2 linked regions of the Oryzias latipes genome follow. The protein of the gene in region 2 interacts with the protein of the main gene of each other region in a pairwise test. Links are inferred from orthologs where the notes say so. Each region holds a gene or a part of one and is shown on either strand. Other genes may lie near its edges.

Region 1 (3,819 bases), on a different chromosome or scaffold from region 2:
ATTCTGCAAACAACCCAAACAATCCTCTGTTTGCGTCGTAAAATGAACCAAGTTTTCTTTGTTTTGTGTTGAGGAATTTTGGGGCCGTTGGAAGCAATATAAATACTCATTACATTTTATTCCCAGCAACAGGAAATGGCGTTTTTAATTTCCTCATCTCTTTGTTTTGCCTGCAGTGAAAAGCATTTTATGCATTTTCTACTTAGAAACATAGGATTGTGTAGGTCTTTCATGGTGTTTTTCAAGGTTTGAAACAGAACTTTTCTAAGTCCTCACTATCAGTTTCTTGAATCTTTTACGACCAACAGTGATGCTGAGGTTCTATTCTGGACTGAACCGTCTCTTCTAACCACCAGTGTATGGTGGAAATGTCCCACTGGTCCTGCTAACATCTCTTTTTGAAACGTCTGTTAGTGTTTGTTGCACGTTTTTTGGTCAAAGTGTCTGATCCAAAAGAAAAAGAATACGAAATGTAGAGATAGATGCTTTTAAAACATTATGGGAAATAAAGAACAGTCTGATTCAACCTTTCCAAATTCCTACCTGTGAAAAGATTTATGCTCCCAGCTGTGACTGCTGAAAACTCCTAGCACTTAGGCGCATTAATTCAAACTTTAATGAGGAATACATGACTGCAAATGTGCAGCATCATGGGAGGAAAAACAGGCAAAACAGCCTCTATCTGGACATCGGTCCCCCTTAGCTGTCATTATCTTTATATGGCTGTAAATCATCAGGGAATTGTTTTGTAGTCATCTCCCTATTACCCCCTCCACCCCCCAGCAGGCATCCAAGACCAAAATGCCACACATGACCACAAAAGAGAAAGCCATTTGTGAGATGTCCTGATTATGCGGGTTGTGCAATGTGAAACAATTTGCCTGATTACTTCCAATTGATTTGTTCTCCCAGTTAAAACCTCGCCGCCGAGCAGCGTGGCGAGATGGACTTTGGCGTGCGGCTGGGCAGGGAAGAGGAGCAATTTCTCCAATGTGCAGCTGAACCGGCTTACGGCTGAAACTAAAGCCGCCTGCGTGCTGCTAAACCTTCAGAGCCTAAACAGAAGGCTAGCTACTGGCTAACTGTGTCTGCTAAAGCCTCGGGGGATTTGTTTGGGGCACAAAGTGAATTAAAGGTGACCTTCTAAAAGAGATGGAGAGGATGGAAAGACAGAAGGACGGCGGAGAGGAGACTGTTGGCCCATGGTGTCCCTGTACATCTGCTTCATTCTGATTCAGCTTTATGCAGAACACACTTTCCTGTGGTACGAAACCTCATGGTGCGTCACATAAAATAAATGTATACATAGTAATGCACCACACATGGACGTCCAACTAAAAAAAGAAGCAGTCCATAAATTAAAAAAATAAAAAGCATAAAAAAGTGAAGAGGCAGCACAAGAAAGTGTCAAACAAAGCTATATTTGAACCTTTTTCCTTTAAAAAACTTTTAGAGCTTCAAGGACCATAAAACTCCAAAAGTGATGTAGAGTCTGGTATTTTCACTCCACTCCTCATTCAGACTTAGTTTACATCGTAGCTGGGGTTTGTTTTTACAAATGGTTTCTTTAAAAAGACACACTGATGAAAATCATGTTTTTGGTGTTTTTAAAAGGTTTTTGTGGCATTTTTCTCACCCATGTAAAAAGAAGATTTAATTTCAAATTGCATTTCTGAAAATATCTTTATTCAAAACATTGTGAATCAGGAGCAGACAAAAAAACTACAATTGAAAAAGCTGGTAGCTGTGATGCAGAACGTACTGTGGGCGGGCCACAAGGTCGCTGCCCCGCCCCATTCCGACTTATCCACTCGCAGATGAATACAGCGTTCCCCCGCGTGTTCACGGTTCAATATTCACAGATTTCAGCTTACCAATACATTTTGATTAAAGTTTGTTTGATCGATGTTTCTGGTCATTGAGACGACATAATCATCAGGAAAACACCACTGGGATCCAGAGATGATCGGAGTGGGACTGTCCCTGCTTCTAAAAGTCCAAAGCTGATGACCCACTTTGTCAAACTTTATGCCTAATCTTCAAACATGTTATAAATTCCAGAAAAAACTTTCCTAATTTAAGGACTTTTGACTACTGATGAATACATTTTCCCAAAAGAAACATTTAAACAAATATCTCAAATTTGCTTCATAAAATGTCCCATTTAAAACAATAATTGTGTTTGTTTGTTTAATTTTTATTGAAACAAATGTTTATTATGTTTAGTCTGGGTTCTAAAAAGGCTGAACAGCAGAGACCTGCATCTCACCTGAAGGTTGATGTCTGCTTTGTGCTGCAGCAGAACCGACACCAGCTCCTTGTGTCCTCGGTCACAGGCCCAGTGCAGGAGAGCGCGGCCCTGCGGACACCAGCAGAGCGGTCAGCCGCTGCAAACTCAATGCCCCAGAGGAACACAAATGCACAGAGCCTCCTGCTTTTCTTTTACCTGATGTACGGAGAAGGAGCAGTCGTTTATTAGGATTCACCTTATCGGTGAAACGGGGGGAAAAATGGAAAAGTCCAACACACAGTGTGCCAGTGAACATCACACAGGCGTTCACTGGCACCCCCCCCAGGTCTGGATCCTGGTTTTCTAATAACCCCCCCCCCCCCCCCCCCCCCCCCCAAAGCTCATTTTTCAGCAAGGCCGATTAGTGAAAGTCCAGTTCTGTGCTCACATCATATGGATCACTGGGGGGGCCGCTCTGCTATGCCCCCCCTCAGGTGTTTTAAGGCTGACTGGTTATTTTTCAGCAGACCAGTTAGCTGCCCCCCCCCCCTCTTTAGCATATCACTGTTTTCCATTGTAATCAGAAATGTACTTTCATCAGAGACGACAGTTCACTGATAATAATATACACATTTCAAATAAACCAAATATTTTTTACTAATAAAAATACTTTTGTCTCAAACTAATTTGCACAATTTTCAAACATTTTTCCGTTATTTATAGTTAAAATTAAAATTACTTAAAAAATGTATTACATGATATTAAATGTACATATTAAATCTACAATGCAAATTGGTTCACTAAAAACTACAGTTTAATGAAAATTAAACTTAAAGTGCTAAACAGATATTTTATTTTTCCAGATTTCGTTTTTTCAAACCAAACCATCAATTCTGTTTGTGTTTCAGTTCAACAATGAATGTGAAAAGAAGAGGAGAAGTGGGAGGGTTAGGGTCAGGTTGGCGTCTGCAGTCAAACTTCACCACTGCCCTCTGTTGTTCAGCGAGCTGAGCTACAAGATGGAGAGCTGTCAATAAAAGCTGAACACAGACAAGCTTTGACCGTGAACTCAGCAGCTGACGATCAAACGTTTCTGAAACACCTCACATGAGCAGCGGCCGTACGTTTGCAGGCTGAGCTCCGTGTCTGTACCTCCTCATCTTTAGCATTGACATCCACTTTCTGGGAGCCGATGGCATCGTTGATGTGGTCAATGTTGTTTTCTCTGCAGTAGTCAAAGATGTTCTTGTCCTCCTCCCTGAAAGCCATAGAAGAAGAAACAGCAGCAGGTCAGTCAGGACATCACATTTTTATCAGCTTCAGGGCGGGTCTGGTTTGTTTCCACCGTTCTCAAAAGAACTGCTGGGAGAGACTCCAGCATTCCCAAGACTGAACTAACAGAAAAAGGAGGGATGGAAAAACCCCAACATGCGGCTTGCAGCGACCTCCAACTGTTCTGTGTAGCTAAAATATTCAGATGCAACGGTTCACTTTCCCCACGGATCAGTTCTAACCTCGATTCTTTGGGTTTTGTTTCAGTTCCATGAATGATTTGTGTTTTTACAAAACAACAAAACCTGAAAATTCTG
Region 2 (4,543 bases):
CAAAGACGCACTCCAGTGAAAATTCTGTTTGTATTATGTTCTAGTGACATTTTTCTCATAATGTAGGAAATATATTTAAAACATTACCCTTAAAAAAGGATTTCTAAGTATTATTATTCAAATCGTTGTGAATCAGCAGCAGACATTAAAGTGCCGTCTGAAAAAGCTTGTACTTGTGACTAAGAAGCTACAATAGACGGGCCACAAGCTCCTTGCTCTGCTCCATTCTGATCCATTCACTTGTAGACTAATAGATCCATGCACGTCTTCTTTTTCTTCGTCTGGTGTCTGGCTTAAAACTGTACGGCTGGATAGCTCTGATATTGCTCACCATTTTTGTTACACCACTAATGTTAGGTATGGGTTGTGAGGGCCTGTGAACTAGCTGGAGAGAGTGTAAACGGATGGATGACGGAAAATGGGGGCAGGCTTACTCCGCTGTAAGAGGTTAATTTCTGTTCTGCAGACACTATGTTGTAGAAAACGACGCAGGCTAAGCATAATCAGAATTAAAAGACCATTGGGAACAATCAAAAGATGATCTGACTGGGACTTTAAAGAGTTCAACTAAGTTGATCCACAGTGTGTATCCTCCTATGAATGATCAAATTTAATTCAAACTTAAAGTAGCAAGGTTCGTGTATTGTTAGCAGATATGTGTATTTAATTGAATAAATGTTACTGGTTTGAAAAACATACTGTTAAGGAAAATTGATCATTAGTGGAGACAGATCTAGTTTTGTACACATGTCTAAAATGTCCAGAACACATTAAATGTGTCTTTTTTATTTTGGTACTTACTTAACTTCGGGACAGGCTGGGTGTCCCAAAACTGGTACTTGTGCTTGGCTGCTTCATCGATACTCTTCGCTGGTCCTTGGCAGGAAAGCAGTTCCATGGCTCTTTGAATGTCCTGCAGCTTCTGAATGGGCAAACCAGGGTTCTAACAGCAAAAAGGAAACAGATTTGCAGTGTGTTGTAATGACAGCATGATGCCATTTCCCCAAGAGTGAGTTCCCGCACTTCATTAAATACATATATATGAAAGCATAAGCAAAACACAAAGTTTAACATAGTTACAAAAAACCCGACAGAAGTTCAAACTATTGCTAAATCTTCTTCTTCCTCTTTTGGCTTCTCCCATCAGGGGTCGCCACAGCGAACAAGTCGCATGGTAAACTTGGCAATGTTTTACGGCGGATGCCCTTCCTGACGCAACCTTCTCAAACTGGGCTTGGAACCGGCACAGAGGTAGAGAAGGGAAAAGGGAGCAGCCCGGAGTCGAACCCTGGTTTCACGGACGGAAGGCGCCGCAAACCAGCACGAGCTAAACCAGCTCCCAAATTATTGCTGAATAACTCTGCAAATGTATTACATTTACTGCAGTACCAAGGATGTTGCAATAAACTTCCTCTTAAATATAAACTCGCCCATGAAGGTGCAATTAAATTCTTATATCACACATTGTGCAATATGATGTATTTACAGTAAAAAAAAAAATTTTTTTGCATCCTTGAAGGCACACCAAATATTTAAAGCCCACTCCGATCATCTTTTGATCTTTCTTAAAAGTGTTCCCACTGCTCTTTTAATCATGATTAGGCCTTTTTTCGTCAAAAATTGAAAAAAAAACTGTCGTTTTATGTTCATCACCGTGAGATGTTTACCACACTTCCCATCATCCATTTGTTTACACCAGCTTACAGCCCCTAACAACCCCAACCTAACCTTACCAGTGCAACAAAATTGGTGATCGATTCTGGAGTCACCTAGCAGGATCCCAGTTCAGACGAGGAAAATGAAGACGCACATGGATCTATTTGTCTACAAGTGGATGCATCAGAATAGAGCAGAGCATTGAGCTTGTGGCCTGCCTTTTCAACAGCCTTTTTCTTTCGTCTGCTCATGATTTAAAACGGTTTGAACAAAGAAAGACTAGGAAATACAATTTTACGCTTAATTCTTTTCATAAATGTCCTCCATCATGTTAAAAACAACATGATAGAGGACAAAACAACATAAAACACAATTTTCATTTAACTTGGGTCTTTATAGCAAAATTCAAAGTTCTACATGTTAAAACATGTCAAGAACGGGATTTCCTTATAATAAAGTATAAGTTGAAAGCATAAAGTAGGAAGTTCATTTCAAATGTCGCAAACGCGTTTCACTTGAGGTGTTTTGTTTATGTATATTATAAGAAATGTGTGCAAATGTTCTTGTATCAGCATCACACCTTGATCTCCTGGGAGTCAGAGGCAGAATCAGACTTGGTTCCCCCGGAACTCGGCTTCTCTTTCTTCCTCTTTTGCTTCTTTTTCTTCCTCTTGGCCCCCAGCTCTCCTCCCGGACTGCTGTGGATATAAATGAGGATGGAGCCGCAGAGCATCAGTGAACGGAGGCTGACTTCGCAGGACTCACGCGCACGCGGAGCTAACGTTCACTTCCATAGCAACGAATGACAGCTGAGCTACTTCGTGCGGGCTAACTAACGGTTCGTCCTCATGAATGGCGGTCATGCCGTTCAGTTGGGACAGCAACTGTAGGGGGGGACGCCAAAACGCACAACATACTACAAAGGAAAAGCATTCGCTATACATTTTCTACGTTTTACCAGCTTTACGACATTTGCGTCTGCTAACATTAGCAAGCTAACTGTGCTAGCCACTCACAAACTGGCAGGGGGAAAAAAAACATTATTGCGTTTCACAGTCGGACAGGACAGGCCACCCCTCACCCCTGCATATGTTCATTCTCTTCCTCGTTGTCTCCGTCTATCCCGCAAGTATCCTGGTCGTCCAACTCCAGGCTCTGTTGACTGGCTGCGGATTCACTGTCTTCCGCCATCATGAAACAGTTTATTTAAAACAGGCAACGTTAAATTAAGAGCTCCCGGGAAATGGGCGAGAGATGAAAACACAAAGAAAATGTCGAAGGAGTTGGCGCCCCCTATAGGGAAAAATTAGGCAAACAAGTTTTCAGCCATGGAAATGTTTTATGTAAAAAACTCAAAAATGTTCTCTGGCCAAAATTAAAAACGATTAAAAATGTTTTTATTCTTTAAAAAAAGTAAAGTAGTTTTTATTTAATTTTTTTGAATAAAACGTATGTTAATTTCTTATAACTAGGATGCACTGTTGCAGTTTTCTAGGTTACTTTAGTAAAATAAGTTTTATATTGAATGACTTTTTATCCAGTTAAAACAAGTAAATTAAAATAAAAAGTTACTTTTGATGATTTTTATTTGTTTGTTTATAATTTTACAATACATGTCAAAGAAAGACAAATAAAGAAAACTCTTAATTGTTTTTCCAAAAGAAACTAGTTACCAAGTAGTATTCTAGAGGATTACTTCCTACTTTTACATGTAATGGCGTATTCTTTTAATAATAAATAATCATGCCTACATAAACATTTTAAAAACCTTTTTTTTGCCTCTCACCAACAGAGTGACAATATTATTTAAATTGTTCAAATATTTTCCTTTCAGTGTACTGAAAAAGGAAACCAATGAAAGCTGCTTTTTGTAAACATCCCCAAGGAAGCATGAATTTAATGTTAATTTTTTTATCATTGCTTACCAATGCAATCCTGGTTGCAATGGTTTCTGCTGCGGATTTAGGTATTCATGGCTGTTATAGATTTTTGTAGGCAAGAGAAAATTACTCATACTCTCCTCATTCCATCCGTTCATTGTCCACGTCTCCTGGGGTGGCTGTGGTGCAGAAGTAGAGCAGATGGCTTCTGAATTTCTGAAGTGACCTTGGACAAGACATTAAATCTACATTTGCTCCTGGTGGTTATAGGCTGATGCCAGTGTTTGGGAGCAGAGCCACCATCACTGTGTGAATGGTACTGTGACTGATAAGCGCTTTATATACGCCATTTACCACTTCTGATTCCCATTGCAGCGTCACAGAGATGCTGGAGCCTATCCAGCTACAGTCAGCTGAAGGTGTTGTACATGTCTGATACTTATCCTGGTCATCAGATGGCCACTAACAAGACATTTAAGAATCCCCATTAAACCTATGAAGCATTTTTTTAAGCAGTGGGAGGAATCCAGATTGCCTGGAGAAAACCTACACATGCACGACGAGAACATGCCAACTCCACACAGAAGGGTCCCAGCTTCCCAGCAGGGTTTTGAATCAGGATCTTCTTGCCGTGAAGTGAGCGTGCTAACCACTACACCACCATGCAGCCTATGTATGGTTGATTTAGATAGTTTATCTTGCAGGTGAAAAAGATGCAAGTGAGAAAATTGACATTTTGGAAACTGAATCTGAGGATGGAGTTCTGAAGTCTGATAGTTTGCACCTTGAATTAAATCTGCAGACTTCACCGAGCTCTACAGCAAGTATGTTTTTTTTTTTAACCAGTTGACTTAGTGTGGTGTCAGGACTACTACCTCTCTTGAAGCTTGTTTTCCTGGGCATCCCAGTTCTGAACCTCTATTACCACACGGTGAACTAACTGCACGGTTTGTTGTTTAGGCCTGCACTACATGCTGGTATGTACACATATTAAACTAATAAGTAGT

The links.
Region 1: the proteins of nmt2 (region 2) and acbd6 interact in binary tests that used the Homo sapiens proteins (3 or more experiments, as listed by UniProt). The link is inferred for Oryzias latipes from reciprocal best matches to the Homo sapiens genes NMT2 and ACBD6.

The regions. Positions count from the first base shown.
Region 1 is NC_019862.2:32,225,278-32,229,096, forward strand, and holds part of acbd6 (acyl-CoA-binding domain-containing protein 6), read right to left. Parts: intron 3,489-3,819; coding exon 3,383-3,488; intron 2,360-3,382; coding exon 2,270-2,359; intron 1-2,269. UniProt on the Homo sapiens protein: Binds long-chain acyl-coenzyme A molecules with a strong preference for unsaturated C18:1-CoA, lower affinity for unsaturated C20:4-CoA, and very weak affinity for saturated C16:0-CoA. Does not bind fatty acids. Plays a role in protein N-myristoylation.
Region 2 is NC_019874.2:17,903,401-17,907,943, reverse strand, and holds the start of nmt2 (glycylpeptide N-tetradecanoyltransferase 2), read right to left. Parts: upstream 2,955-4,543; 5' UTR 2,851-2,954; coding exon 2,738-2,850; intron 2,355-2,737; coding exon 2,237-2,354; intron 944-2,236; coding exon 802-943; intron 1-801.